Struthio camelus: one gene and its partners. The protein of the gene in region 1 purifies or fractionates together with the protein of each later gene. This does not show direct contact. Links are inferred from orthologs where the notes say so. Each region holds a gene or a part of one and is shown in the gene's direction. Other genes may lie near its edges. The genes, in order: SRPK2, CLASRP, LUC7L3 and TJP2.

Region 1 (7,271 bases):
ATCTCTTGTTTGTTTCCATTCTGTGCGAGAGCAGCATGAAATTGGCCAATATCCTGATTTCTAAGAAAGTGCAGTTCAGGGAGCGTGCCACCACACACTGGGAAAAGTAATGCTGAAATGAACTGGTACATAAATCAGAACTCCAGGGCAGCAGCTTCTAACATCTCTCTGCTCAAGGAAGAGTTTTGTATTATTCTCAGAAAGCAGACAATATGATATTTATAGGATTGCTGCTAGGTTATTTTTTTATTCTGTACAAATGTATTTCACTCATGTCTGAAAATTGAATGCCTCTTTGTATAAGTGAAGTGTTTTAAAGTTAGGTGAAAAGGAAACGAAGCACACATCTAGCAGGTATCAAATGTCTGGTTCAAACTACATTATAAACAGGTAAAAATATAATCTCATAATTTGACATTTTCTCCTGCCTCCCCCCTAATATTTGTACCGAAGATCATCTATACCTGCTGCTGCTGCTGCTGCTGCTGCTGTTGTTCCTCCTGTTGGGGCAGTCATATGACTAAACCTCACCGTGCCCTTCCCCGGAGTGAATGAGCTCTATGGTAATCCTTATAATTAAACAGGCACCTGTTCCAATATTATGTTCAGGGAGAGACAGCCAGACCCAAATACATTCTGTCCCAGTCCATTGTCTTTAATTTATATTGTTTATTTATAAAAGCCTTCTTTCACTATTCAGGATATCCTCTCTCTTGACTCATTGTTGATTTTTGAAACAGTTAAGTATATATATAATATATATAATAAGACATAATGAAATAAGAATGGAGAACTCCACTGAAATGAGTGAATTCGAATAGATATAATGCAGGGTACGTTTATTCTTAATGACCACTCTCTGTATTTTTTGAAATGGAGTCCCTTCCCTTTAGTCTCCCTTCTTTATTTTTGTCAAACGTAGACTGATCCAGTGAATACTTTATCACATTAACCTTATTCATGTGAGCAGCTTGTTTGCCTTCGCTGAAAGTACCTTTACTAAGGTTTTCATAATTAAGACAAAAACCTGAGTCTTTCATTCTCTTTCGAATTGCTTCACAAATTGCAAGCTCAAAGGGAATTACAGCATATTTTTAAAGAAATATGAATCTGAAAAAATACACAAATCTATAAAATGAGGTGGTTTAACATACCTCACATTATTCCATTAAATATTTGACCCTGAACTTTCACTCCCTGCTTGGGTCCTCTGGAATATGCATAAGCCAGGAATATGCATAAGCCACACTCTCAGAGTCTGAGAAATACAGTTTCCTGGTTTTCAAAATATGTTTAGCTTCTACTAACCTTAATTTACTCTCCAGTTTAGTTAACTGCACATGGTAAGCCTCTATACGTACATATGGAGTCTCAGTGAGTTTTTTGCACTTCTGTGTGAGCATCGTCTAAGAGGCTCTTCTGAAAAAAAAGAAAAAGCAGGAAGAATACAGTCCAGAAATATATGTCCATTGGAATGGAAAGATATTGACTGTGTGGAATACACCCACCTGATCCTAACGTAATTCCTTCCCTCGGCGCTAGCAGATTGTTCCCTCACCCTGATTAGGTTGCTGACATTATGTTGCCTGTGAGGGAAATTCCTTCCTGACTCCAGATTTGGCAAATTTATAACCCTGTTGACGTAAGCAAAGCTCACTGATGTTATCTAAGACCTAATTGTCCAATCAGTTCTACATACAAATCTCCTATTGAAGTAAATAGAATTACACATGAGTAGCTGAAAAGACGTTCGGGACCCTGATACGATTTCCACTCCATAGCCATGGCTACAAGATCGCTTTCAGCCAACACTGCCACTGAAAAAGAAAAAAGTAGTCTCACCATTTTCTCCACCAACCGCTGCTTGTTTCTAGCATCTTCTATAGAGGCACAAGTATTTGTGCAGCAGCACAATGAACCAATGAAGCTAAAAATAGCCTGGACAAAAAGGGGAGATATGTAATCTGCTTTTCAACATTCAAATACTATTAATTTTCATGCATCTACATTTTCTGAGCAGAAAGCCTTCGCAATTTCAGTACAGCCTTCTGTTGCCTGATCTATCGGACTGACTACATTGCTGTGCTATCATATTGAACTGGACTAACCACAGAAAGGGAGACATGCAGCATGCTAACATTACATGTTACACAATAATAGATTCTACTGGAAATGTTTTTTTTCCTGTGATCTTCTATGATGGAGGATGCAAAACAAAAACTGTTTTGATTTAGAAATGCAGCTGTGGTGCATCATGACAGTTGTAGCTTAGGAGCTTTGTGGTCCTATTGTTTTCTGTCTGTTAGGCTCTCCAGTCGGACAGAAAGTATTATATATTGTGGTATGTCTGAGTTGTCTGGCTTTATATGGAACCTGCTAGGAAGGAATGGATGCTATCTTTCTGTTCCTGTCCTGTTACTAAGCTGAACTGACTGCAGCCAGGGATTCAATTATTCTGTCTAGCTGAAACCTTTATGATCCAATTACATAAGACTAGTGATCGCTGCCCGTTACCTTCACTCATCATACCTTGACCACATCTCCTCTGAGATCTTCATCCTTGTGGATTCTTTCTCTTGGCATTTAGGGAGGAAGGTGTGCCATCAAAATGTAATAACTGCCCACTGTTACCTTTCTGTCATTATGCCTTTGAATTCCAGTCTTACACGGAGATAAAGGAGAAGCTAGACGACTGGAGTTTTCAGTATGGCCCAGATCATCTTCTGCATCAAGCAGAATTTATAGACTACACAAAATCTCCAAATCCTAACACTATTCAAATGTAGCTATGCAATGCAAAGCACAAATAAGAAGTGGCAATTTTCAACAGGTCATGACTAGGCCAAATCTGAATAGAACCTGGTATCATGAGCAGCAAGACACTGTATTTCTGTTACGATCTGCAGAGAGAAAAAAAAAAAAGTAGAGTTAAATAACTGTCAGTGATGCCAATCAACGAACTTAGAACCAGAATTAAGGACATCTAATTTCTCTGGCTTTATGTCATGAGGGTAATTGGTTCTGGCATGTAACCCTACAGTTTCGTGATAAGCTAAAGCTGATCCAGCTTCAGGCGGCTGCCAAAAGGGCAGATCGACACTTCCGCTCCCACTAGGCTTTTCTCCTTCTCTTTTGTCCACTCTGAGCAATTACGCAGCAATGGGGGAGGGAGGGGGGATCAGCTTGCTATCCCAATTGCAAACTAGTATTTTTTGGGGTTGGCAGAATTAGTTTTCATTTGGTTCACTGAAGTGGTAGAACTCACCGCACAGATACCCCGGTGAGGGGCCTGGGCCCACGTAAGGGGCAAAAGCAGAGCAGTTGATGGGAGAGCAAGAATGTCCCCGTGGGTAGCGGTATAACCTTACGTACAAGGTGTGAGTACCTGCTCTGCAAGTACGAGTAGTATCTTTTCCCTTTATCAGGTCCTCTATTTCCTAAAATCTCCAAGAAGACAATTTCTTTGAAAACCTTATCAAACGGGATTGAAATCAGCTAGGGGCTTTGACAGCTATTCAGCAGGAACTGGCAGCATAACTCTCATTGCGTGGGAAAGCCAGGTTAAGAGCGGGAAGAAGCTCTTGTACGAGGAGGAGTTGAGCGCCGGGCGCCGTTCTCCTGCGGAAAGCACTTGCACTCCTCGGGCAACAGCACAGCCCAGGCAGAGGCGGCAGGCTGGGCTGACCAAGGGGAAGAGCGTCATCACCCCGTGCTTGAATGCATCCCCCTTTTCTGTATATATATATATATATGTATATATAATATATACATATATATATATATTTTAATACACAGGGGAGTAGTATTTTACATAAATAAGCCCCCAGCGAACTGCTTGCAGAATCGCTTGGTGAGACGCGACGGAGCCCAACAGGTTCCAAGTTAAGGGCCGGTCACGCCAGGTAAAGGCCTCGGGTCCTCGTCCTCGCCGGGCGCCAGCCAAGAGGCGCCCCGGGGCCCGCGGGTTCACCGGCGGCCCCAGGCCCGGCACCGACCTGCCCCGCCCGCTCAGAAAGGGGGGGGGGCGGCGGCGGCGGCGGGGGGCGCTGCGGGCCGCCAGGTGCGCTCCCGCCGGGCCCGCGCCGCCACCTGCCGCCGCCCCGCCCCCGCCCTTCCGGCCGCGGCCCCGCCGGCAGAGCTGCGCCTGCGCAGTAGCCGGTCGGGGAAGGGTTTGCGGGGGGGAGGTGCCGCCGCTTTGCCGGCCGGTGCCCGGCGCGCGGACGCGGCTGGCGCGCGGTGGCGGCGCGCGGACGCGGCGCGGCGGGAGGGGCGGGGCGAGCGGTGCGCGCGCGGAGGAGCGCGCGGCGCGGCGCGAGGCGATGAGCTCGCGCAAAGGTACCGGGCCGGCCGGCGGGTCCCGCGGGGCGGGAGCGAGGGGAGGGCAGCGCAGCGCAGCGCAGCGCAGCGCGCCGGCCGCTAACCCCGCGCTCTCCTCCTTCTCTTCTCCCCGCAGTGCTGGCCCTGCAGGCCCGCAGGCGGCGGCCCAAGCAGCCCGCGGCGGCCGGCAGGAGGGACAAGCACCCGCCGCCGCACAAAAAGTGAGTACGGAGAGCCCGGACCCGGCGGGACGGAGCCTCCCCCACCCGCTCAGCGCCCGCCCGCTCCTCCCCAGACGGAGCCTTCCCCTCGGCCGCCGTTAACGTTGTCCGCCCCCCCCCCCCGGCTAGGATCCCTGTCTCGCCGCCGCCGCGGGGCGAGCCCACCCCCCCCCCCTCCGCGGGACACGCGCCGCTCACGCTTCTCCCGCCGGCGGCGGTTTCTTTCCCTCCCGTTTTTTGCCCGCCCGCTCCCTTTCCCGGTAACGTCTCTCAGGTTTTGCTTCCCCCCCCACCGCCCCCCCGGCTGGTTCCCCCCGCCGAGACAGGCGGCAGCTCTCCCGGCGGAGCCGCCCCCTCCCCCCGCTCCGTCTCCACAGAAGCCCTGTGGCCGTTACCCCTCCCCCCGCGCCGCCGCGCGCCGCCCCCCCCCCGCCCCCCCCGCCGTCGGGTGTGCGGGACACCCGGCTCGGCCCCCTCGGGGAAGGCCTCCCTGGCTCGCCCTGCTGGCACAGACCTGCCTTCCTGCCCCGAGGGAAACCTGCTCTGAGGCACTCCTGTGTCCTCTTCCCAAGAGCGCTGCGATACTTTTCTCCTAGGGCTTCTGAGAAACCTGCGTTTGTTCGGGGATGTGCACAGGCTTGGTCTTTGTCGCCATCACCTCTCGTGTCCCTTTCAAACTGCCCCTGGACTTCTCTCGCCCTAGCGGTCTTCCTTCTCTCGTGGTGCTTTTTGTTCTGTGATTTCTCTCTTGCTTTACTGGTATCGTCCTGTCTATAGACAATCCTTTTCTTAGTTATCCCCCTAACAGCCCTATATACCGTTCCTGTTCTACACTTTCTACTTGGTGCTTTGAGATTATTTCCTGTTTCCACATGTATCTCACTGCCTGGGAATTCTTCCGCTAGTGCTTCTTCTAGGTGAAGCTCTTTCTCCTGTGAGCGCTCCTGCCCTCTGTGACTTCATGTCTTTTTAAAATCTCTTCCGGCTTGCAGAAACTGACTTCTAATAACTGTCTGTTTTTTCCTCTTTTTTTCCTGGTAACGCTTCATCATCTTGTCACTGTCCTGTTCGTTTTTTCTCATTCTCACAATAGCCATTTTCACTGAAACGTTTGTTTTCCCGTCTCTGTATGCTCATGCTTGAACTGCGTTTTCCTAGGAGTCCTTATTAGGACACTGTGGCCTTGGACTTGCTTTACTTTTTGTTCTCACAGGATTATGTGTTTTTCCTTCATTAACTTTTACTGTGTTCTGTTCAGTGAGACTTTATTGCCATGATACCTCATCTAGACTCTTGTCTTTGTTTTTGTACCTTGGGGATCTAGTCTGACTACTTTACTCTGACAGGGAGATTTGTTCCACAGATGTTCCTCATCTCGCTGTCTTCTTAGTCTGCCAGTCTTAAATCTAGGAAGCTGGACATGATGGACAGATGTGTATTTATAGGTGATGGGGTAAAGATGTTGTTATGTGTCACAATAAATTATTCCAGGGGTGATTTTTTCTTCTTTTTGATTTCTGTAGAAAGAAATAAAAGCACTCCTCTCCCTCTGTCCTGTGTGGGGTTTTTTTTTTTTTTTTGGTAATAAGATTCCCCCCCCCCCCTTGAGGTATGTAAAAATAATATAGGATGAAATGAAATTCTATGGTGGTCGTCATCAGATTTTGACAGTTAACTTTCATCCACACCCTGCCTGCTACTGCTGTTTCCTCCAGTGTTGTATGAAAGCTTTGTTGTGCTTTCAGTTGTGCTTTCAGTTATATGAATTTGTTACTATTGTGAAGGAAACAAATTTTGCATACAAGATGCACAGTATGATTAGATTAGTTCCATTGTTTCCAAAAGCCTTCAGAAAGTCAGTTTGTAATATTGCGTGGATGTGTTTAGCCACTTTGAAAACAGAAAAATCTCAGATTTTATTATAACTCTAGATTCTGAATTGTATTTGTAGCTTTCAGTTGAATCTTAACCACAAGATTATTAATACCTTACTGTTTCAGTTATATGATAGAGTGTTCGATATGTTTCTAACCAGGGTTGCCTTGGGATGTCTTGCTGAATGAGGTCGTTAGAAGTTTGCTTTAACAGACACAAAACTGGTATTCTCTTCCAGTTTGCTGAAGAAACTGGCTACTGTTAAGTCAGGGTGCACAGTCAGTAGCTGGCTTTTTGCCATACTGAGTCGGCATTTCCAGATGCAATGGCCCAATCTGTTCAGTTGCCCTCGGGAAACAGTGGTTTTGCTGCCGTAGACAATGGCGCCATCGTTTCTTTGCTACTACATATTATTCTTTTCTCTTCAACCCCCTTTTATGCTATCTAGACCTTTTTATACTTCTTGGGTAACTCTTTCAAAATTTTACATCTCCTTGCATATGGTTAAATAGCTTTACTTTGTGGGCCAAAACTAGTATTGGACATTATTTTAGAAAATAACCTCAGCAGAAGTAGCCCTTTTTTTCTGCTGTTTCCAGCCTTGCTTTAAATCCAACTGCTACAGCATATGCTAGTATGTTATAGAACTGTATATCATCTGTGATGCACGTTAAATATGCAGTAGTTGCAAATGAAAATGTTGATTTAAGGAGCGGAAGTTCTACAACATAAGATCTTGTTTCACAGTTTTGAATCCAAAGCTTTTTTTTTTTCCCTGTAGCTTGTAGGAAGACCCTTGTCTGTTGAGTCATAGCTTTACAGAGCAACTTCCATTGTTGCTGGCAACAATGTGCTTCG
Region 2 (7,165 bases), on another chromosome or scaffold:
CGGGTGTCTACCAGCTTGGCAAGGGATCCTGGAAGGCCATAGAGCTCGGGGTGGGCCCCCACGAGCCCGCAGAGGACACCACGGGCATCTACGAGCTGGGCAAGGGCTCCTGGAAGGCCGTAGAGCATGGGGCTGATATGAGCCCGCAGAGGCCACCACGGGCATCTATGAGCTTGGCATGGGCTCCTCGAAGGCCGTAGAGCATGGGGCTGATATGAGCCCACAGAGGCCACCACGGGCCTCTATGAGCTTGGCAAAGGCTCCTCGAAGGCCGTAGAGCTCAGGGCGGGTCCCCACAAGCCCGCAGAGGCTGCCACGGAACTCTACCAGCTGGGCAAGGGCTCCTCGAAGGCCGTAGAGCTCGGGGCGGGCCCCCATGAGCCCGCAGAGGCCGCCACGGGCATCTACGAGCTGGGCAAGGGCTCCTCGAAGGCCGTAGAGCTCGGGGCAGGCCCCCATGAGCCCACAGAGGCCACCATGAGCCTCTACGAGCTCGGCAAGGCCTCCTCAAAGGCCATAGAGATCGGGGCGGGCACCCACGAGCCTGCAGAGAATGCCACGGGCGTCTACGAGCTGGGCAAGGGCTCCTTGAAGGCCGTAGAGCTCGGGGCGGGCACCCACAAGCCCACAGAGACTGCCACGGGCATCTACGAGCTGGGCAAGGGCTCCTCGAAGGCTGTAGAGCTTGGGGCAGGCCCCCACGAGCCCACAGAGGCCACCACGGGCCTCTACAAGCTGGGCAAGGGCTCCTCGAAGGCTGTAGAGCTTGGGGCAGGCCCCCACGAGCCCACAGAGGCCGCCACGGGCCTCTACGAGCTTGGCAAGGGCTCCTCGAAGGCCGTAGAGCTCGGGGCGGGCCCCCACGAGCCCACAGAGGCCGCCACGGGCGACTACGAGCTGGGCAAGGGCTCCTCGAAGGCCGTAGAGCTCGGGGCAGGCCCCCACGAGCCCACAGAGGCTGCCACGGGCCTCTACGAGCTGGGCAAGGGCTCCTCGAAGGCCGTAGAGCTCGGGGCGGGCCCCCACAAGCCCGCACAGGCCCCCACGGGCATCTACAAGATCGCGGCAAGGGCTCCTCGAAGGCCGTAGAGCTCGGGGTGGGCACCCACGAGCCCGCAGAGGCCACCACGGGCATCTACGAGCTGGGCAAGGGCTCCTCAAAGGCCGTAGAGCTCGGGACGGGCCCCCATGAGCCCACAGAGGCCGCCACGGGCATCTACGAGCTGGGCAAGGGCTCCTCAAAGGCCGTAGAGCTCGGGGCAGGCCCCCATGAGCCCACAGAGGCCACCATGAGCCTCTACGAGCTCAGCAAGGGCTCCTCAAAGGCCGTAGAGCTCGGGGCGGGCACCCACGAGCCTGCAGAGAATGCCACGGGCGTGTATGAGCTGGGCAAGGGCTCCTTGAAGGCCGTAGAGCTCGGGGCGGGCACCCACAAGCCTGCAGAGGCCACCACGGGACTCTATGAGCTGTGCAAGGGCTCCTCGAAGGCTGTAGAGCTTGGGGCAGGAACCCAACGAGCCCGCAGAGGCCACCACGGGCATCTATGAGCTTGGCAAGGGCTCCTCGAAGGCCGTAGAGCTCGGGGCAGGCCCCCACAAGCCCGCAGAGGCTGCCACGGAACTCTACCAGCTGGGCAAGGGCTCCTCGAAGGCCGTAGAGCTCGGGACAGGCCCCCATGAGCCCACAGAGGCCGCCACGGGCGACTACGATCTCCGCAAGTGCTCCTGGAAGGCCGTAGAGTTCGGGGCAGGCCCCCACAAGCCCGCAGAGGCCACCACGGGCCTCTACGAGCTCAGCAAGGGCTCCTCGAAGGCCGTAGAGCTCAGGGCAGGCCCCCACGAGCCCGCAGAGGTCGCCACAGGCCTCTACGAGCTTGGCAAGGGCTCCTCAAAGGCCGTAGAACTCGGGGCGGGCCCCCACGAGCCCGCAGAGGCCGCCACGGGCATCTACGATCTCGGCAAGGGCTCCGCGAAGGCCGTAGAGCTCGCGGCGGGCTCCCACGAGCCCGCAGAGGCCGCCATGGGCATCTATGAGCTGGGCAAGGGCTCCTCGAAGGCTGTAGAGCTCGGGGCTGTCTCCCACGAGCCCGCAGAGGCCACCACGGGCCTCTACGAGCTCGGCAAGGGCTCCTCGAAGGCCGTAGAGCTCGGAGCGGTCCCCCACGAGCCCACAGAGGCCACCACGGGCATCTATGAGCTGGGGAAGGGCTCCTCGAAGGCTGTAGAGCTCGGGGCAGGCACCCACGTGCCCGCAGAGGCCGCCATGGGCGTCTACGAGCTGGGCAAGGGCTCCTCGAAGGCCGTAGAGCTCGGGTCAAGCCCCCATGAGCCTGCAGAGGCCGCCACGGGCCTGTACAAGCTCGGCAAGGGCTCCTCGATTCAGACACATATGAGCTTTGCTTGTTTCCATATAAACCATTAGGGGCAGGCATGAGTGCCTACGATCTCAGCAGAGATCTGTACAAGCCTGTAGAGCCCTGTGCCATCTCATACAGGCCTGTAGAGCCTAGCACTGACCCATACGAGCCCGTAGTGCCTGGCATGAGCCCACATCAAGCTCAGCACAGGTCTGTACGAGCCCATGGAGTCCTGTGGGGGGTCTGTACAAGCCTGTAGAGTCTGGCACGGGCCCATATGAGCTCTGTGTGGGCCCATACCATCCTGTGGAGCCCTGTGGAGGCCTGTACAAGCTTGTAAAGCCCAGCAAGGGCCCATCCGAGAGCATAGAAGCAGGCGCGGGCTCATACCAGCTCGGAGTGGACCCATACTAGGCTGCAGAGCATGGTGTGGGCCCGTACAAGCCTGTAGGCCTTGCTGCAGACCCATATGAGCTCAGTGCAGGACCGTACAAGCCCATGGATCCCCATGGCATACCGTACAAGCCCATAGAGGCTGGCACGGGCGCGTATGAACCTGTAGGGCCTAAAGCAGGCCCGTACAAGCTCAGTGTGGGCCCATACAAGCCCATAGAGCCCACCACAGGCCCGTATGAGCCCATAGACCTTGGTGTGGGCCCATACAAGCTCCACGAGGGTCCATACGAGCCCGTAGAGCCTCATGCAGGCCCAAACAAGTCCGTAGAACCTGGTACGGGGCCATACAAGCCTGTATGGCCTAGCACAGGCCCATACGAGTTCAGTGCGGGCCCATATGAGTCCCTAGGGCATCGTTCAGGCCTGTAGGAGCCCGCAGGTCCTGGTGTGGGTCCGTAAGAGCTTGGCATGCATGCGTACGAGCCCGTGGAGCCCCGTGTGAGTTTGTGCGAGCCCCCAGGGTCCCCAGACTGGGACTGGTCCAACCCAGTCCCCCCTCACCAGGGCCCCCAGACTGGGACTGGACCAGTCCAGTTCTCCCCACCACCACAGGGCCCCCAGACTGGGACCGGCCCGGCCCAGTTCCCCCACCCCACCAGGGCCCCCAAACTGGGACCGGCCGGGCCCAGTTCCCCCCCCAACCAGGGCCCCCAAACTGGGACCAGCCCAGCCCAGTTCCCCCACCCCACCAGGGCCCCCAAACTGGGACCGGCCCGGCCCAGTTCCCCCACCCCACCAGGGCCCCCAAACTGGGACTGGCCCGGCCCAGTTCCCCCACCCCACCAGGGCCCCCAAACTGGGACCGGCCCGGCCCAGTTCCCCCACCCCCCAACCAGGGCCCCCAAACTGGGACCGGCCCGGCCCAGTTCCCCCACCCCCCAACCAGGGCCCCCAAACTGGGACCGGCCCGGCCCAGTTCCCCCACCCCCCAACCAGGGCCCCCAAACTGGGACCGGCCCGGCCCAGTTCCCCCACCCCCCAACCAGGGCCCCCAAACTGGGACCGGCCCGGCCCAGTCCCAACTGGTGCAGCCGAGCCAGGCCCCGCCCCCCTGCCATATCCCCGCCTCCCCCTCCCCGCGCTAGACCCCGCCCAGCTAGGGCGTGGTGCCCCCCCGCAGGCCTCGCCCCTCTCCGGCTCTCCCATTGGCTCCTCCCCCACCACGTGACCCACCCCTCCCCACGCGCCGCCGTTCTCTCCCTCTTCCTGTTTCCCCCAGCCCCGCCCCCTCCCGCGCTTCCGCTTCCGGGTCGGTCCATGGCCGCGGGCCCGGTGGTGAGTGACTAATGGCGGCGCGGGGCCGCCCCCTTCCCTTCCCCTCCTCCCTCCCCGGCCCGGCCCCGTCCGCAATCCGCCCCCGGGGCCACCGAGCTGCCCCCCCCCGCCGCCGCCGCCGCCCCACCCGTGGCGGCAGCAGCGGAGGGCACCGGGGGGGGGGTGTGCGCGGCGCGGCCTGGCCGGGGTGTTGGCCTGGGGCCTTGTGGTTCCCCCCCCCCCCCCCGGTTGTTCCCCTAGGTTGAGCGGTGTCACCGTCTGTCCTTTCCCCCCCCCCCCCCGCCGGTGCTTTCTTCGAGGGGGGGTGTCCTGGTCCCCGTTTCCCTCCCTCCCCGCCGGTTCCTTCCCCGGGGGGGTCCCAGTCCCCGTCTCCCCCCCCCTCCGCCGGTGCTTTCTTCGGGGGGGGGGTCCCGGTCCCCTTTTTCCTCCCCCCCTCCCCGCCAGTCCTTTCCCCTGGGGGGGTCCCAGTCCCCGTTTCCCTCCCCCCCCCCGCCGGTTCCTTCCCCGGGGGGGGGTTTTCGGTCCCCTTTTCCCTCCCTCCCCCTCCACGCCAGTCCCTTCCCCGGGGGGGTCCCGGTCCCCGTTTCCCTCCCCTCCCCGCCGGTTCCTTCCCCGGGGGGGTCCCAGTCCCCGTCTCCCCCCCCCTCCGCCGGTGCTTTCTTCGGGGGGGGGGTCCCGGTCCCCTTTTTCCTCCCCCCCTCCCCGCCAGTCCTTTCCCCTGGGGGGGTCCCAGTCCCCGTTTCCCTCCCCCCCCCCGCCGGTTCCTTCCCCGGGGGGGGGTTTTCGGTCCCCTTTTCCCTCCCTCCCCCTCCACGCCAGTCCCTTCCCCGGGGGGGTCCCGGTCCCCGTTTCCCTCCCCTCCCCGCCGGTTCCTTCCCCGGGGGGGTCTCAGTCCCCGTCTCCCCCCCCCCTCCGCCGGTGCTTTCTTCGGGGGGGGTCCCGGTCCCCTTTTTCCTCCCCCCCTTCTCGCTGTTCCCTTCCCCGGGGAGGGGTTCCCGGTCCCCTTTTCCCTCCCCCCCTCCCCGCCGCCAGTCCTTTCCCCTGGGGGGGTCCCGGTCCCCGTTTCCCTTCCCTCCCTGCTGGCCCCTTCCCCTGCGGGGGGGGGGGTCCCGGTCCCCGTTTCCCTCCCCCCCCCCCCGCCGGTTCCTTCCCCGGGGGGGGGTTTCCGGTCCCCTTTTCCCTCCCCCCCCCTCCACGCCAGTCCCTTCCCCAGGGGGGTCCCGGTCTCCGTTTCCCTCCCCTCCCTGCCGGCCCCTTCCCCGGGGGGGGGGGTCCCGGTCCCTGTTTCCCTCCCCTCCCTGCCGGCCCGTTCCCCTGGGGGGGGGGGTCCCGGTCCCCTTTTCCCTCCCCCCCTCCCCGCCGCCAGTCCTTTCCCCTGGGGGGGTCCCGGTCTCTGTTTCCCTCCCCCCCCCCCGCCGGTCCCTTCCCCGGGGGGGTCCCAGTCCCCTTTTCCCCCTCCCCAGTCCCTTCCCCGGCGGAGATGCCTGGTGTCCTTCCCCCGCCCAAAACCCCCATTTCCCCCTCCCCATCACTGTCTCCTCAGCTCTCGTCCCATCCCCTTTCTTGTCACCTCTGCCAAGGGGCACCCAGGGGCCCCTCCCTTCCCCAGTGTCCCCCTGAGCCCTGGTCCCCCCTCCCTTACCCCTCACCCCTTCCAAGGGGGTGGCCCATGTCCCCCCTTTCCGGGTGGCCGCGGCCCCGCGATGGCTCTGGGCCACCTAACGGGCCTCCGGCACCAGACAGGGGAAGTGGCCGTCCCCGCCGGTGCGTCCGCCGCCGTGCCGAAAACCACCCGCCCGCCTCTCTGCCGGCGCCGTCTCCTCGTCGCCACGCCGCTCCTTGACAGCTCGGGGACAGCGCGATGTGGCACGAGGCCCGCAAGCACGAGCGCAAGCTCCGGGGGATGATGGTGGATTACAAGAAGCGAGCGGAGCGCCGCCGCGAGTACTACGAGAAGATCGTGAGTCGCCCCGGGCTCGCGGCTGCCCGACACTGGCCCGGCCCAGCCGTGCGCCGCAAACTGGGCGTTTGTCCCTCGTCCAGCAGCATTCCCGCTCCTTCGCGGGGTTGGGGCAGGCTGGGGGGGCCGTGCGTGTCCCAGGCTGGGAATATCGTCTCGCAGAGAGTTTTGCTTGTGGTTGAGGGAAGAAGAAGAGCCTCAGGGGAGGATTTAGTCCCCGGTAGGCTGCTCTGTGGAGGGTAGGAAGTGCTGATTTTGGTGTTTGGGAATCGCGTGGGTGCTTTCCTGCGGTTTTGGGGGCTGGAAAGGGGAGGAAGACGGAGCCACAGCCCTCTCTGCAGGCATCTGTCACTGTCCAGCCGCAGGAAGCGCCGTGGGCGCCCCCGGGCGGGTGCCCTGCTCCTCTCTGCCTGCCTCGACCCCATGCGGACAGAACTGCCCCCCTTGGAAATGCCTCTTCCCTAAACCTTTGGCCTTTCTACTCCCCTTAGAAAAAGGACCCAGCCCAGTTCCTCCAGGTCCACGGCCGGGCCTGCAAGGTGCACCTGGACTCGGCCGTCGCCCTCGCCGCCGAGAGCCCCGTCAACATGTGAGTAGCTGCATGCGGGGGGCAGAGACGGTCTCTCCCCGCTCGCGAGGGCGTTAGCGGCTCCCTGGAGCTGTCACCTTCCCTTCGTGCAGCTGAGGGGTCTTTAAAAAAACAAGCCTGGCTGGCAGGAGACTCGCAGGTCCTGTTTGAGCACTGAATTTATCTCCTGCCAGACCTTAGAGAGAGGCTTTTTGGCTGGCTCGTGGTTCCTGCTTTTCCCAAGTGCTTTGCTCCTCTTGGCGCTTCCCTAGCGGAGATGCCGAGCAAGTAGGATTGCCTCCTTCGTTGTTAGCTCTGGAAATAAAATCTGGGCCATTTCCCTTCATCAAAGCGATGAGAAGGACTCAGCTCCTCCTACGGCAGAGCTTCTAGAAGACACTGTCACAGCTAATGAGTTTGTTCCCCCTCCTCGTTAGGCAGTGACTAATGCAGCAGGAGCTGAGTGTGCTCGTTTGTGGCGCTGGGAGGGAGCGTGCAGGCTTGCGCTGCTCGTGTGCATCCCGGCCAGGGTCCTGCTCTTCCTGGCGTT
Region 3 (7,626 bases), on another chromosome or scaffold:
ATCCCTCAGTATCTGAGACAAGCTTCCTGAAACTCGGACCGAGTTTGTTTAGTTTTGCTGTGTCATGCTTTTTGGACTTTTCACAAATCTCTCCTTGTTTCGCGTGTGAATAGTTTGCATGGATTCAGAAGCAGCGCACTGCCAAGTCGTAGCTAGTTTAGACCAAAGCAGCGAGAGAACACGCAGGCAGCGCGGGGATGTTTGCTTTCCCTGCTTAAACGAGGATGCTCCATTGAGAATTACACACTATTTCCTCTATACTGAACGCCAGAGACTTCAGCGGGACCCTGCACGCGTGTAAAACTCGAGGGTTTAGTTTGCTCAGAAGATACGCGAGCCTCAGCGGCGCTGCCTCATTTTGGAATTCGTTCTGACCATCGCACGTGGCTTTAGCAAGGTCTCATGCGGAGAGGTACCAGCTACCCCCCCAGATCCAACACACACCAAAACGCACGTATCCAGCACCCCCGAGCATCAGACTCATGGAAAAGGTCATTCCAGCGATTTAAATTCTACAAGCAAACCTAAATAACAGTGAAGATCCATTTACTGTCATAGTCAAAAATGACCAGATCGTTATTTCTGAAAATAATTCTTTTTTTTTTTTTTAATTTATTGTTTCTTCCATCAATGCCAGTTTTAGATAGAAACTCATTTGGATGGCCAGCAACTACTTCTCTTGCACATGAATATAATTTATGCTCTTAGGAATCACTTTGCAGAAGTTATTACAAGCTCTGATTTTAATCACAATTTGAACCGCAAGTTGCAAGCGTTCCATGCTGCTGACGACTACTACTGGCGCTCTAATCTTTAGAATAGCAGCTTCTTTCCTAATTTTGTTCTTCCTATTTTTAATTAAAACCTCAAGCGCAGTACAGCATGGTAAATACACACTGAATTCAACTTGAGGAAAACAGCCTTCAAAAACGCCTGAGCGTTCCCTGCAGCTCCCGCTTCAAATGGTACCGTGTGCGTGTTCATTCACGTATATAGTCCCGCCTGCACAAACGCGTATTATTACCAAAAGGACTTCGTTTTAGTGTCACTAGGTGGTATTTGAATGAGATGTCAGAACTAAAAGTATTTTAGGGACATCACCGAAACAGCCTGCAAGTTTGCTGATGAAAGTGCAGTCACTTTAGAGCCTGATTTGGAAGTTAGCACGAATTAAGTCCGGTTATAAATTAATATATCTTGGCAAGCTGAGGTTTATTTTTTGATAGCTATGTTACGGTGCTGTCTTAGGCTGCCAGCATTCCCTTTCCAAAAAAATAAACAATATAAAGTAACAACGACCTGAAGAAGGATCAAACACCAAAGGAACAAAAATAGCGGGTGGGACGAGAGTGCAAATTTATAAAGCAATTATCAGCTCCAGCAGTATTTTTTTTCCTTTTTGGCGTAGTGAGAGGTAGCTATAGGGAAGAGCATTTGGCAAGGCGTTGAAGAAGCACATTTTTAATTTCATCCCAAATTCACACCGGTCATGATGCGCGTATTTCAGCTGAAAGAGAAAAAAATCCGCAGTAGCGTATGCCTAGTCAAAAACAAAACAAAAAGGGTAAACAAACTCATCTCTACAGCCTCAGGAGCCCTCGGTTCCACTCGTCCTGGAGACGACCCGCTCCGGCTCCCGCTCGGCAGCCTTACCAGCCGTTGATGTCATTCTGGGAGTTCAGGTTCACCCCCAGTTCCACCAGCCGCTGAACTTCCTCCGCGTCCCCCAGCGCCGCCGCCTCTCTCAGTCTCTCCTGCAGCTCCTTCTCCTCTACCAGGGCTGTCATCTTGCTGGAGCCTCGGACCAGACGCGGGTCTGGTGGAGGAGCGCTCTAACCGGGGCGATCTCTCATGCTGCCAACCTCGCAGACCGGGCAGCTCCGCAAGCACAAAGTGTCTCGTGCCCTTTGTCGGTTTTAAATTTGGATGCAGAGTGACTTTCTGTGTGCTAGCCTTAAATCAAGCCCAGGGACCTACTGCCAAAGGACATTATAACAAACACGCTTGCAGGGTGTCCGGAGCATCCCCCTTTCCTAAACTCTTCCAGGGGGACTCTATTATCTGTGACAACTCTGACCTAGATATTTAGTTCCTACGAACAGCCTTGCGTGCGAGTCATGGCTGCTGCGATTTTACAGTCGGGATGATTTATTAGCCACATACGGGTACGTGGCAATTTTAAAGTACCAAACTATTATTTAATGTACAGGCAGCTGTATAACGCACAGCATCTCCTGCTCTGTTGCTTGTGCTTACAGGCTCCAGAATCGCACGACTGCTCTGTCTAGGAAATTCTCATCATCGCTGAGAATTCGCGTTGCAATTAATTAAGCCCTTAATAACTCCAAGGCTACCTGCAAAGCATTTGCAAAGATTACAGGCAGTTCCTGTAATTCACCGTATTTGCTTTAAAAAGTTGATTTTGATCACTGTTGATTTGTCCTAAGCTAAGTTACGGAAGAGCGAAGAGCTAGTAAAAATTTCACAATTATAAAAACTCAAAAGAATCATTTCTGTCTCCAGCCAGACATCTAACGAAACTACACCATTTCTAGTCTAGTATGCTCTAGGAGCGCACTCTGGGGAAATTTGCAATGGTTAGGCTGATCCCAGTTCAGCAGCCAGGGTACCTGGCTGGTGTTTTGATGCTATGGGAGCAATATAAAGCCGAAACGCAGAACAACTCTGGCCCCCTTTTCTAAAGCAAACATCCACCTTCCATCCCCCTCAAAACCCCAAACTGTAGAATTTTTAAGATTTAAGATACGTGTAAGTGGGGTCGCACTGATTTCAGCTACACTCTTACTTACAACAATTCAAATGGGTAATTAAATCACTATGAAATTGCAAAGATTAAAAAAAAAAAATGTAGTGCCTTACAGTGCTGGATATGGAAGTTTTATGGACAGAGTTCTGAACAGAAACTCTATGGACAACCCGTGAGTTTGCGTGAAGCCTTCAGTGATTGCAGCAGAGGTCTGAGCAAGACCAGCCATGAATTCTGTGTTTTTTTACAAGGTCAGCGCTAATACAGACTTCAAACTCTTAAAAAAAAAAAAAAAGCAACCAAGTTCAAGATTTTTAAACTAACATTCATACTACTTAATTATTCCTTGTCTTTTTTACTTCTTCCAGTATAAATGATGGAAATATAGACTAGTAGCACAGAGGAAATTTAAATCCAAACAAACACAAAATGTTAACGTACTAGATTTTTCGGGTACCTGAAAACGTCCATTATCTGCGAAACTATACCAAACCTCTGAAAGCACCAAGATGCCCAGCGTGAGCGCGCTCACCCGTGGCCAAGCCCTTCCCAGGCCACTAGAACCCTCTTTTTATTACAAGATAAAGCAGCATGATATTGGTTCTAAAATGAGCCCAACAGGAAATGACAAAGTAAGGGAGAGAAACATAGATGTTTCTCTTATACTGTGAATAGAGGGGAATATCTCTGATTAAAAACTTGATTAAAAACCCAGTCCTTGTTAGGTCCGTTTCGCTACGCTTCAGGAGTATCAGTATGGTCACGGTTCATAATTTTTACATGTGGAAAAATGCTGGGAATGAATGACTAAATGATCTATAAGCAGGTAGAGGATAATAGTTATAGGGGAAAAAAATGGATTTGTCAAGGGTAGGCAGACTGAGCTACTATAATTTTCTTACTTGGCAGGAAAATTGGTATAGAGGATAAGAGCAAAGCTGCAGGAGTGCCAATGGTAGATGTTCGGCCATAGTCCACAGCACTAATATTCTCATTAGCAAGTTAACGACTGACAGTACAAAAGAAATTTCTACAAAACCGACTAGCAGGCATTCGAAAAAAGCATATTCAAGAGAGGAGTTGGCAGGGATTGCATTAACTGAGGTACGAAAGGGGACTGTCCTCGTCTGGCGGTACTAAATAATTTGGCATACTTTGGGCAGTCAGAATGATTCTGAGGACTTGGAAAATGCTTTAGAATCAGTAAGGTAAAATTCAGTAAGGACAAGGCCCAGAGCCACACCTAGGCAAAAAAAGAAAAATACATCCAAAAATGAGCAGAAGCTGGTTGGGCGTTAATACCAGAGAAATTACACGGGGCTACAAACTGCGTATCGGTGCACCGTTAAAAAAAAAAGCTATTAAAAAATGCAAAAAACTGAGGAGACCCTTCCTGCGTTTGTGCAGTAACCAAGCCGGGAAGCTGGAATAAATCCACGCTTTCAGACTGCTATAGACGAACGGGAGGGAACCCCAAAAACAGGTAATAAAAATTAGAAGAGTTGTTTTAAAAAAAAAAAACCAAACCAAAGACCCATGAGAAAAAAATTAAAACGAACTGGGTTTATTTAAGGAGACACGCGTCTTGAAATCTGCAAGATGACTGAATAAAGTGAACGCTCATCAGTTAGTCTCCGTCCATGACGGGACAAGACATAACCGACCGGTACCGGGGCGAGGAAGGTTTTGGTCAGCTGTGAGGCCCCGTGCCCTCCCCGCCGGCCGGAGGGGCGCTCCCGGCGGGAATACCGTGCCCGGGGCCCTCAGGAAAGGCCCCGGCTCCCAGCCTGGCCACGTCCCGGCTGCGAGGGACGCCCCCCCGGCGAAGCCGCCGACCGCGGGGCAGCGCCGCCGCGGCCCGTCCCCGCCGCCATCGCGAGGCGGCGGCGGCCCCCGCCAGGCCCCAGAGGCGGTTAGCAGGCGCGCGGTGCATTGTGGGCAGGGCGAGGAGCGGCGCCGCCATTTTGTCTCTGTCACTCCAGCGGCGGCGCGGTCGAGTCGGGGAGGAGAGGCGGCGGCAGCGGCGGAGCCCGGCGGGGAGGTATTCGGCCAGGAAGACACCATGATATCGGCCGCCCAGCTCCTAGATGAGCTTATGGGCCGGGATAGAAACCTGGCCCCGGATGAGAAGCGCAGCAACGTGCGGTGGGACCATGAGAGCGTGAGTGAAGCGGAGCCGCCTCTCCCCCTCCCTCCCCTGGTCCCCCCCCCCCCCTCCGGCCGAGGGCCTGGGTCTTGTCGGCGCGACACGCACCGCGGGTGGGGGCCCGCGGAGGGGGAGCGAGGGGGCGCCGGGGTCTCGGCGGGGGAGGATCCGCGGAGGTTTAGCGAGAGGAGAGGGCCGAGGCGCCGGTGGAGCCCGTCGTGCGAGGCTCCCGCCCCGAGGCCGCGGGGCTCCTGCATGGCGGCCGCGGGGCGGCCTAGGCCCGCGCCGTTGCGCGGGAAGCTCGCTGAGCCTGCCCGACGAGGAGGAGGAACTGGGTGGCCGGGAGGGAGGAGGATCCCGCCATGGCTTAGCTGTGCGAGAGGGCTTGCGTTGTTATCAGGGCTGATGGGAGGAGAGAGGCCTTGTGTTTGGGTTTCAGCGTAAGGGGGAGAGGCTGTGTTCGCCTTGGCGTGCGCTCCCTGTCGCGTCGACAAATGGTAGTAAGGGTTTCCGAGAGGCCTGCCGATGGCTGAAATCTCCCGGGGGGGGAGGGGGGAACTGTGGGAAGCTGTAGTAGAAGCAAGAATTTCTTGGAGCCTGCTGGCTTGCATGAGGGGAGATAAGACAGGTGTTAGCGGTTTGAAAGACAAGTTTTCTCTGGATCTCTTCCTAACTGTGGTATTGGAGGAAACGGAAGAATACATTCATGCTAACTTAACTGTGAAGGTTGTAGCGCAGTGACGATCCAGAAGACTTTTGCAGCTGAAGATTTTTCAAAGTAAAAAACTTGATTGCTTCTGTACTTTCCCAAAGCTTACCTACTGCACTTCCGGGTGGGAGGGCTAAACCTAAACAGTATTGCTGTTATTTTTGTAGTACTTGAGAATTTTTTGTCAATGGGGTGATAACATCCATCTTCTGCTTTAAACTGCTCAAAAAGAAGAGGATTTTCTTATATTATTTTGGAGTGAGGTTTCTCCCCACGTGTGGTTAAATCTTAGTGGATATTAGCTTCTAGCGACATCCATTGTGGTTGGTATTAGAACTTATTTCACAAAAAAATCAGTAGTAATAACAAAGTTGCCATAGCTGCCCCTTTGGGTGACTTGAAAACTCTGAAACACTTCCCTCTACTCCCTTCCCCCTGTCGTGATGTATTTTTGTGCTGTGCTGTATTTTAAAAGAAAGAGAGAGTCCCAGTTCAGATAAGACAGTTCACTTATCTTTTGTGTGGTCGAAGTTGTTGTGGTTAAAGCTGCAGAAAGCATTTAGTTTAAATGTGTGGTGTTCCTCCCCCCTTAGCATTTTTTTCATGTTGTTAAGTTGGGAGGCAGGAGAAATGTTTGCTTTTGGCTTTTTAAAGTTGTGTCTGAATCACCAAGTTGGGAATTTCCCATTTTCAAACAAGAGTTACTTTATTTTAGAGCTGGCTAAACCAAGTTTTAATTTGTCTCAAAAACAACATGTAAGGACAAATACCTGTCTTGCTAGACTTTTGTAAATCCAAGCAATTTTTAATTCTCCTTGAAAAATGCTGTTATAGAGGTAAGCTATACGCATCAGGAGAAATTGAGCTCAGGAAGTTTTATTAATGAAATAATGTTTTTTTTTTTTTTCCTGACTTAATCAAGTGTGATTGTTCAGATAGGTGTTCAGTTACACATTTTCTGAGCTCTAAAAGGAAAGGAGTTGGTTAACCCTGGAAATAGGAAGTAAATGGCTTCGGGCATGTCCGTGCAGGTAGAGGAGATAAGGGGTTTCTCGTTTTATTTCTGAAGATGAGAAAGAATTTTTTGCCTCCTTCTCTTTAATCAAGTTAAGATGACTTAATCCTTAGCCTAAAATTGAAAAATAAACTCTTTTAAAATGTGTGACTCAAAACCATAGAAATCCATCTCTAAGATGCTGTTCAGTTTTGTTGTTTCAGAAACAGTGCCTTGTTTCTTCTTCTCAGTCCTCCCTTGATGATTTAGAAAGGGGAGAGCTGTCCCTGTCCTTGTTGAGGCCAGTAGGGGCTTAGAGTTGATCCTTCAGCCTAAGAGGAAATGTTGCTGTGTTCGTTCCGAGTTTGCTTCTTTTTTTTTAATGAAGTTTATATGAGCATCATTAAATGCAACCTTTCTGAAAGGGATGTTATCATAAATCCCTATAGTCAGTGGGCTAGTTCAGAACAAAACCTTTCCCGTGTTAAAACACAGAAATGTATTTTACTTTCAGCTTAAATTTGTGCATCGGTTTAATAAGGGTTTTGTTAGTAATGCTGACTTATTTTAGAAGTCAGGAAATGCAGATAAGGTTCAGCTAGCAACATTAGTTTGCCTGTTTATTGTTTTGTTTTTCTGGTTAAACATGTACATAAGTGTTGTTACTTGTGAAATTATACCTGTTATCAACACAAAGCCTTTTTCAATGTGAGCCTGTTGTATTCTCATTCCAAAATTTAAGATTTTATCAAGATTTCATAAATTTTAGATGTGGAAGGTTATAATTTCTATTTATCATTTGTAAATTACATTTAGGTAGATGTCACAACTTCTGTGGAAGATGGTGTGAAATGCACAACAGAAATAGGCTTTTGTGAAGCTGTGGAAGCAGCGTGTATGATAGCTGAGCGTTTATTCGCAGTTGTAATGAAAAGTGTGATGATCATCATGTATTGTAAAGCCTGTTGTATAGCTTAAGTTTTTACCTTAGAATTTTGACATGAGTAAAG
Region 4 (7,375 bases), on another chromosome or scaffold:
TTGCAGTTGGATCTGAAGTGACTGAAGATGGAATCATGCATCTGTCATCAGCTTTTACATGAAATATGCTCTAAATCTAATAACTCTTTCTTTTCATGTATTGAGCAAAAGAAAACTTTCACTTTGATCTCATAAATGTTTCTTTCATGCAGAAAAGAACATTTGTCATTCTTTCCCCTTTCCCTGAATTACTTCTCACTTGCCAAACCATCTACTGCAACAGTCTAGAATTTGTATAGAATGAATGAGAATAATATAATTTCTGAACTGCTTTTGCAAATATCACTTATAGAATTTTATTTGCATTGAAATCATTGTCACAAGACTGATTTTTTTTTCTCTCTCTTTCAGCTAAGAAAGCACAGAATAGAGTAAGAGACTTTGAAACAGACGTAAAAAAAGCTTTCAGTTCTCACAGGGTTCTCTTTCCCTACAGCCAGCGTACCTTCCAAGTCTTTTGATATATTGCCACAATGCATTATATCAATTTGATAGAAATACATGTTACCTCATTTTCTTTATTTTGAAAACTGAGAAGTAATCAACATGGCAGACTTGTAAGGAGAAGCTGAGCAGAGAACACAAGTATGGTGAAAAAGCAAAGATTTCTTTTTGCTAAAATTCAGGCTGTCCATTGCTGTTCTCTTCATGAGCATGGTTGAGGACCACAAGTTCCCGAAGCTGACACAAGTGTTTTTCTTTAACAGATTAATTATTAGATTATGTTTGTTCACTTGTATGTTCCCAGTTGATCTGTGCTCTTTCCATTAAAACTTGGTGTTCTTTCTGCCTGAAAAACACAAAGTTAGAAGGGGAGTGGATGATATTCCTCAACAGGAAACAATGAACGTAGATGTATTTTAGACCCTTTGTTACTGAGGGATAGTTTTTTCAGGGCAAACAATGGATGTACTAATAGCTTTGAGTTTCTGTTTTCAAACAAAGTTGAAGGAAATTGATAACTTGTGAGTCAGTCTTACTCCCTCTGCATATCTAAGATTCATGAACAAGCTAGCTAAGAGGAGTGCTTGGGAGTGACTTATGCTTACTGTATGAGTTTGTTTGTGAGCTCTCTGTGTACAAGGCTGGTCACGGGGCTCCTATTCTAGTCAGAGTTATTTGGCTTTACTCAAGCAAATAACAGATTAATTAGAGCTACACTAAACAATTTTTTCACTTTTTTCAGAATCATAGTTCTAAGCATGCTATTGGGAAGTGTTTGTAAGGAAGAATCTGTTCCTCATATCTCTAAGGGAAAAATGTAAGGTTAAAAAAGGTGAAGGGGTGGTGATGGTGGAAAGAAGTGCCAAAACGTATGAGAAATTGTGATAACATTGAAAACAAAACTAACTTAAAAGGCAGATTGGATTTCATCAAAATGTTTCTCTGATTAAGCAGGACTGACTATTATCATGAATTACTACATTCAGAAGGTGTTTAAAAACTGAAATAGTCAACAAACTGCTAGTCAATACTGCCTGCACAATAGGGCTGCTAACGCTCTCAAAAGTCAGGATGCATGCAGGCCTGATGACATTAGCTGTGCTTACAGACTGCTACTAGTATTTCACTTTCCCAAGGTTCTTACTACTTTGTATGCAGATGTTTGAAATTGTAGTATTGTAGCTTTTTTTTTTTCCTTGGTCTTGCGAAAGTAATACTTAGCTTCACTTTATTTCTATGTTTTTAATACATTAGCTGCTTTCCTGAAGGGTTTTGACACTGTCTCCCATCACATGCTCGTAGGTAAACTCAGGAAGTGTGGGCTGGATGAGTGGACGGTGAGGTGGGTTGAGAACTGGCTGGACGGCAGAGCTCGGAGGGCTGTGGTCAGCGGTGGAGAGTCCAGTGGGAGGCCTGTAGCTCGCGGTGTCCCCCAGGGGTCAGTGCTGGGCCCAGTCTTGTTCAATGCATTCATCGGTGACCTGGAGGAAGGCACAGAGTGCACCCTCAGCAAGTTGGCTGATGACACTAAACTGGGAGGAGTGGCTGACACACCAGGGGGCTGTGCTGCCATTCCGAGGGACGTGGACAGGCTGGAGAGCTGGGAGGAGAGGAGCCTCATGGAGTTCAGCATAGGCAAGGGCAGGGTCCTGCACCTTGGCAGCAATAACCCCATGCCCCAGGACAGGCTGGGGGTTGACCTGCTGGAGAGCAGCTCTGCAGAGAAGGACCTGGGAGTGCTGGTGGACAGCAAGCTGGGCATGAGGCAGCAATGTGCCCGTGTGGTCAAGAAGGCCAATGGGATCCTGGGGTGCGTTAGGGAGAGCATTGCCAGCAGGTGGAGGGAGGTGATCCTGCCCCTCTCCTCAGCCCTGGTGAGGCCTCACCTGGAGTGCTGTGTCCAATTCTGGGCTGCCCAGTACAAGAGAGACATGGCACTCCTGGAGAGAGTCCAGCGGAGGGCCACTAAGATGATGAGGGGACTGGAGCATCATCTCTCCTGTGAGGAAAGGCAGAGAGAGCTGGGGCTGTTCAGCCTGGAGAAGAGAAGACTGAGAGGCGATCTCATCAACGTGTACAAGTATCTGAAGGGAGGGTGAAAGCCATACTCTTTTCAGTGGTGCCCAGCAACAGGACAAGAGGCAATGGGCACAAACTGAACCACAGGCAGTTCCGTCTGAACATGAGGCAAAACTTCTTTGCTGTGAGGGTGACGGAGCACTGGCACAGGTTGCCCAGAGAGGTGGTGGAGTCTCCTTCGCTGGAGATATTCAAAACCAGCCTGGATATCTTGTGCACTGTGCTCTAGAGGACCCTGCTTGAGCAGGGGGGTTGGACTAGGTGATCTCCAGAGGTCCCTTGCAACCTTGGCCATTCTGTGACTCTGTGATTTCCTAATACATCTCAAATTTCCAGATTACGTATTCCTTACATATCTATGTACAACTAGATAGGTATAAACTGCAGATTTCCTTTTGTCAGTTATTTGTCGTTTTATTTCTTGAATCTGTAAACTGCTTAATTTTATATTGCTATTTTAAAGTCAGTTGAGCAGATTTAATAATTCACTTGAGATGGTTCAGTGTGTGCATATTTTGTGTAAGTGAACTTAAGTTACAATGTAACTTAATATATTGAGTGCCAGGTAGGGCGTAAGTAATACAGAAGAGTGAATAATACAGGGACTGGAAATAACTGTACAAGAATTCATTGTGTAGGGCTGAATATTTTACAGTATAAGTTTAGAAGTTGTAGTTTCCATCTTAAAGGTTTCAAAATATGTAACATTCTATACAAAGTCACCTCAGCAGAAATATAGGCATTTTACTACTAGAGAATAGTTAAAATACGCAGTTTGCAGAGGGGTTTTTGGCCAGGTCTTTAGGATAAATGCTTCCCGTCCCGTCTGTTCTTTTTGCATGTTTATATAAAATAACCTATACAACAATAGAAATAGTATATATAAAATTATATATAAACTTTCATAGTTAGTATCTTACTATCTATGTAGCATTACAACATTTCCTTTGTTAATCTTTTTTGCAGTCAAGCAAGTCTCTCTTAATACTGTAGTTTGGCAGTGCTGCAGCATATCTAAAATGCCACTATTACTTCAACTTGTACATCTGTCTCCACGCTTGTAGTTAGTACCTGAGGTCATTGGCATGCACAATTACTTACGTCATGGCTGGAACAGTTTTGACACGGAAAGTGGCTTCTGGCGTTGTGTGAGGCACATTTGTATGACTAGTAGGTATCATAATGAAGTCTTTATCTTGCTTAATTCTGTGTAAGTGAAGTAAGGGAATGTTTCTCCATGCCTCTCCTGCTCAGATCACAGATAAATCCTGGTGCTACGGAGAAAAGTTGAAGCAAAAGCCATTATTACCTTTCAGAGTATGTAAAAAAAAATTCTCAACTTTTCTGTGCAGATCTCATTCCCTCAGTTGATCTGAGAGAGAAGTTACCTAGCGCTCCATTAGTACTTGAAAGATTATAAACATCAGAGATTTAGCCAAGGATTAGTAAATTGGAGAGTGTGCATTATCCGGCCAGGCTTAGAACCGTGATTGTCTCTTCAATCATTTTCATTAGTGTCTTACTCAAAGATCAAATTATGTAACAATGACGTTTCAGGGGAATCTGGCAGGAGTTTTTCTTTGGTTTCTCTCCCAGACTAACTCTCCATGCCTAGTAGAGGGGGGGAAGGCATTATTTTTATGCTTGAAACCTGCAGTATGTTTTGAAAAGCAACCGTTCAGACAAGTGCAGAAGCATGACTGCGTTTGGATGACAACTTAGCGTGGTGGAACTCTTGAGAGAGGCAGGATGCGGTACAAGAAATATATAACTATCTTAGAAGCAGCAATAGGCATAACTCCCCTTAACAAAAGGGAACTGCTTCCTGAAGGTAGACATGCAAACCTTTGGCAACATCCCAGGTAAGTGTTACAAACGAGATAAATGAGTAACTGTGGGAAAACCTGTGTTAACCTTGAAGAATACAATTTGAACGCTTCTATGAGAAAAGGAAAGAGTCATTCATAAAAACAAGTAATCTTTTGTCTGCCTTCCAAGCAGTGTATCTTCTGCAGTTGCAGTTAAACTCTGTGGTTTCATTAGAGATTTCTGTGCATTTACTGTCCTTGGCTACCAGGACAATTAGAAAGAGGCATAATTTCTAAATTAAAAGTTTGCTCAAAGAGTAGAAAGGATAAACAGGAGCATACTTATTGCAATGAAAACGAGATAGTCATTTTGTATTAATGCTTACTCCTGCTGCATGTGTATGTGTGGGTTCCCCCCCTCCTTGTTAGAATGTGCATATTTTAATTATTATCTATGGGAGAACTAGCAGCTTCTAAAAGCAGAAAAAAAAACCCACTTTTTTGCTTGTATCCCACTTTCTTTTTCTAATAGAAAGCAAAATTTCCTCATATTTAGGAGTACTGTTTTCATAAAGGAAATATGCAGCAATTAATAGAGAAAACAATTAGGATTTTTAAGCGTTCAGACTATGAAATTGGGAGCATTCTGTTCTGGTTAAAAACAATTCAGAGTGCTTTCTTGTACCCCCTAACTTGAATGTTGGACTTCAGAAAATTCGTTCGTTCGTAACTCAGTTTCCCTCTAAAAGTGATCGTCTTAAAAACTCCTGTGCTCATAGAGTGTGTATGTGAGAAGAGGGATTGTCCTTCTTTCCCATCTGCTCATTCTATGTAAGTAGCGTCAGTGGGTGCATATCCTCATAGCCTTTCTAGTCTCTCCTGTTCTTGTTTTGCATTAGAATGTTGTACTGTTGTTTAAGACATGGCAGAGGAACATAAAATCTGAGAAACTTGTTGAAGACTAATGGTTAGATAAGTTTGTACTGGTTGTGATTAGTTTTGTGTGAGAAAATTTTCAAAGAAAATCTTGGAGTAAAAATGCTATCACCTGAACTCTAATTTTGCTCATGATTTTTCTGCAAGAACCCCTCTGCTAATAGTGGTATCAACAGTAATACCAATTCAAATAAAGCACCCATATGATTTTTAGTTGCTTCACCTAAATGACAAAATACTGGATGCTAAGATTTTCCACCCTCTTCATTGACACAAAAATTCTTCAAGTTGATCCTAGTGTGCTGGTATTGCACTGAGGAGTGCTTTTTGGCTTTTTTGTTAAAATGTGCTCATTTGAAGGCATCCTTAGTACAATGCATTGTAGACACTTCTTTCCCATGTTCTCTTGACTCTGACTTCCTCTGATTGTTTAATGTGAGTTATCTGCATGCCAATCTCTCTGAATCTTGCAGCCGTTCTTTACATGTTGATAAAAAGTTACATGATGGCTCTTGATCCTTGGAGGAACGGTGTTAGAATGTAATGACACATTCTTACAAAATTTCTCTTTGTGCTTCAAGTAGATTTGTTTGGCTAGAGGAGCAACTTGAAACAAACCATTTAAAAATGAAACTTATTAACTTTAGCATCCCTTCTTTTTTGCTTTACTACTTAAATGTCTGAATGATAAGCTTTCATCTACGAGTGAGTGTTAGTCAATACCCAAATGCAAAACATACTGCCTTGTTAATACTTGTTTTTCTTTCCAGTGTTATTAATCAGGCGTCTCCCTTCTTTCATAGAGGGGTTTCGAGTGATGTAATTGTTGTACACACTTGGAATTTTAACTTCTTAAAATGTATTTGAATTACAGAATTGCCATTCTGACAATTCAACAGAAGTAGAAAAGCTTTTGTCATTGGACTTCATTAGGGACCCCTTATATCCTTTTATTAGATCTTTCCGAGCACTAAGGGTTGGGAGCTAACAATTGCCATGAAGTGAACCATGGTTTGAAGAAAAGAGCGCTGTTCTGTTTGCAGCTGCGGACTGTGATCTGTGCAATTGGAATAAGCAAATTTATAACTCACTTGGCTAATATCTGCTTGTCACTCAGCCTCTGGTGGTACTCTATCAGGTTCATATAAAAAAGAATCCAATCAAATTGAATAACATTTTTAAACTAGCTATTTTTTCCCCCAATTTCCATCATGGCGCATTTTCTAAAAGCTAGTACAGAATGTAAAGTGTATCTGGCTCCTCCTCACTGCACAAATTCAAATGCATGCTTAAGTTAAATTCTTCCTATGCTTCTCTCAACCATCTCATAGAATGAAAGAAAATCAGCATTAAAGTGGGATGTCAACTCCCGTGCCATCACTTGAGAGGTGTGAAAATACTGACAGTAACCCAGACTAAGGTGTGAGAGAGGGCAAGGAAGAAAAGCGTGTTATTTTGCTAAGGTGTTCATTTTCGTTTCCGTAGGAAAGTCATTATAAAGCATATTTTTCCATTTCACTTGGAATAATTACGCGATTTCTGTGGCAGATGGATTCTTTGAAACTGTTCGCATCTTCACAGGGAATCAAAATGATGACAGCAATGGTATTTTGGTTTTAGCTTTCTTGTATAACTTTCCTGCTGTTTTCTGGAAAAGACACTATTACTCTGCACACAACCTGGAACAATGAAGTCGATGTTTGCTCATAATGCATAGCTTTTGCTGCTCTTTGAAGACGGTGGAAATTCATGCTTAAGTTTCTGTCTGTTTGAACTAGTAGAGCCTTACTTTTGGAAAGATGCATTTGTGGAGGAAGGAGTCAGCAGAGAATGAAAATGAACATCTTTTGTCTTCTCAAAGTGATTGGCAGGAGCTGCCTGCATTTGTGAGGCTTAAGAAGTTCATCCGAGACCAAATGATTTTTTGTAATGCCTTAGACCTTTTAAACTTCCTTTTCTCAATCTCGGACTTCATTATGGACGTACTCAGGGAAAAGTGGGTGCCACACGTGAGGCACGTCTATAAAATGGAGTGTAGACTTGTAGATTGAACAAGTAATTGTACAAGTTCTGTAATTGAACAAGTTCTGCAAAATTCTTTTGCTATC

The links.
Region 2: the proteins of SRPK2 (region 1) and CLASRP purify together in Homo sapiens (affinity purification with mass spectrometry; 3 studies listed by BioGRID and IntAct, with this or other methods). This does not show direct contact. The link is inferred for Struthio camelus from reciprocal best matches to the Homo sapiens genes SRPK2 and CLASRP.
Region 3: the proteins of SRPK2 (region 1) and LUC7L3 purify together in Homo sapiens (affinity purification with mass spectrometry; 3 studies listed by BioGRID and IntAct, with this or other methods). This does not show direct contact. The link is inferred for Struthio camelus from reciprocal best matches to the Homo sapiens genes SRPK2 and LUC7L3.
Region 4: the proteins of SRPK2 (region 1) and TJP2 purify together in Homo sapiens (affinity purification with mass spectrometry; 3 studies listed by BioGRID and IntAct, with this or other methods). This does not show direct contact. The link is inferred for Struthio camelus from reciprocal best matches to the Homo sapiens genes SRPK2 and TJP2.

Annotation. Positions count from the first base shown.
Region 1 is NC_090942.1:15,421,522-15,428,792, reverse strand, and holds the start of SRPK2 (SRSF protein kinase 2), read left to right. Parts: upstream 1-4,264; 5' UTR 4,265-4,319; coding exon of another isoform or gene 4,320-4,335; intron 4,336-4,453; coding exon of another isoform or gene 4,454-4,538; intron 4,539-5,052; exon of another isoform or gene 5,053-6,024; intron 6,025-7,271. UniProt on the Homo sapiens protein: Serine/arginine-rich protein-specific kinase which specifically phosphorylates its substrates at serine residues located in regions rich in arginine/serine dipeptides, known as RS domains and is involved in the phosphorylation of SR splicing factors and the regulation of splicing.
Region 2 is NC_090957.1:1,329,548-1,336,712, reverse strand, and holds the start of CLASRP (CLK4-associating serine/arginine rich protein), read left to right. Parts: upstream 1-3,968; 5' UTR 3,969-4,087; intron 4,088-5,826; 5' UTR 5,827-5,948; coding exon 5,949-6,047; intron 6,048-6,538; coding exon 6,539-6,636; intron 6,637-7,165. UniProt on the Homo sapiens protein: Probably functions as an alternative splicing regulator. May regulate the mRNA splicing of genes such as CLK1. May act by regulating members of the CLK kinase family.
Region 3 is NC_090960.1:7,424,802-7,432,427, reverse strand, and holds the start of LUC7L3 (luc7-like protein 3), read left to right. Parts: upstream 1-4,531; 5' UTR 4,532-4,829; coding exon 4,830-4,928; intron 4,929-7,626. Other genes in the region: ANKRD40 (ankyrin repeat domain-containing protein 40), read right to left, coding at 1,654-1,787. UniProt on the Homo sapiens protein: Binds cAMP regulatory element DNA sequence. May play a role in RNA splicing.
Region 4 is NC_090982.1:25,650,396-25,657,770, forward strand, and holds the start of TJP2 (tight junction protein ZO-2), read left to right. Parts: upstream 1-4,272; coding exon 4,273-4,385; intron 4,386-7,375. UniProt on the Homo sapiens protein: Plays a role in tight junctions and adherens junctions. Acts as a positive regulator of RANKL-induced osteoclast differentiation, potentially via mediating downstream transcriptional activity.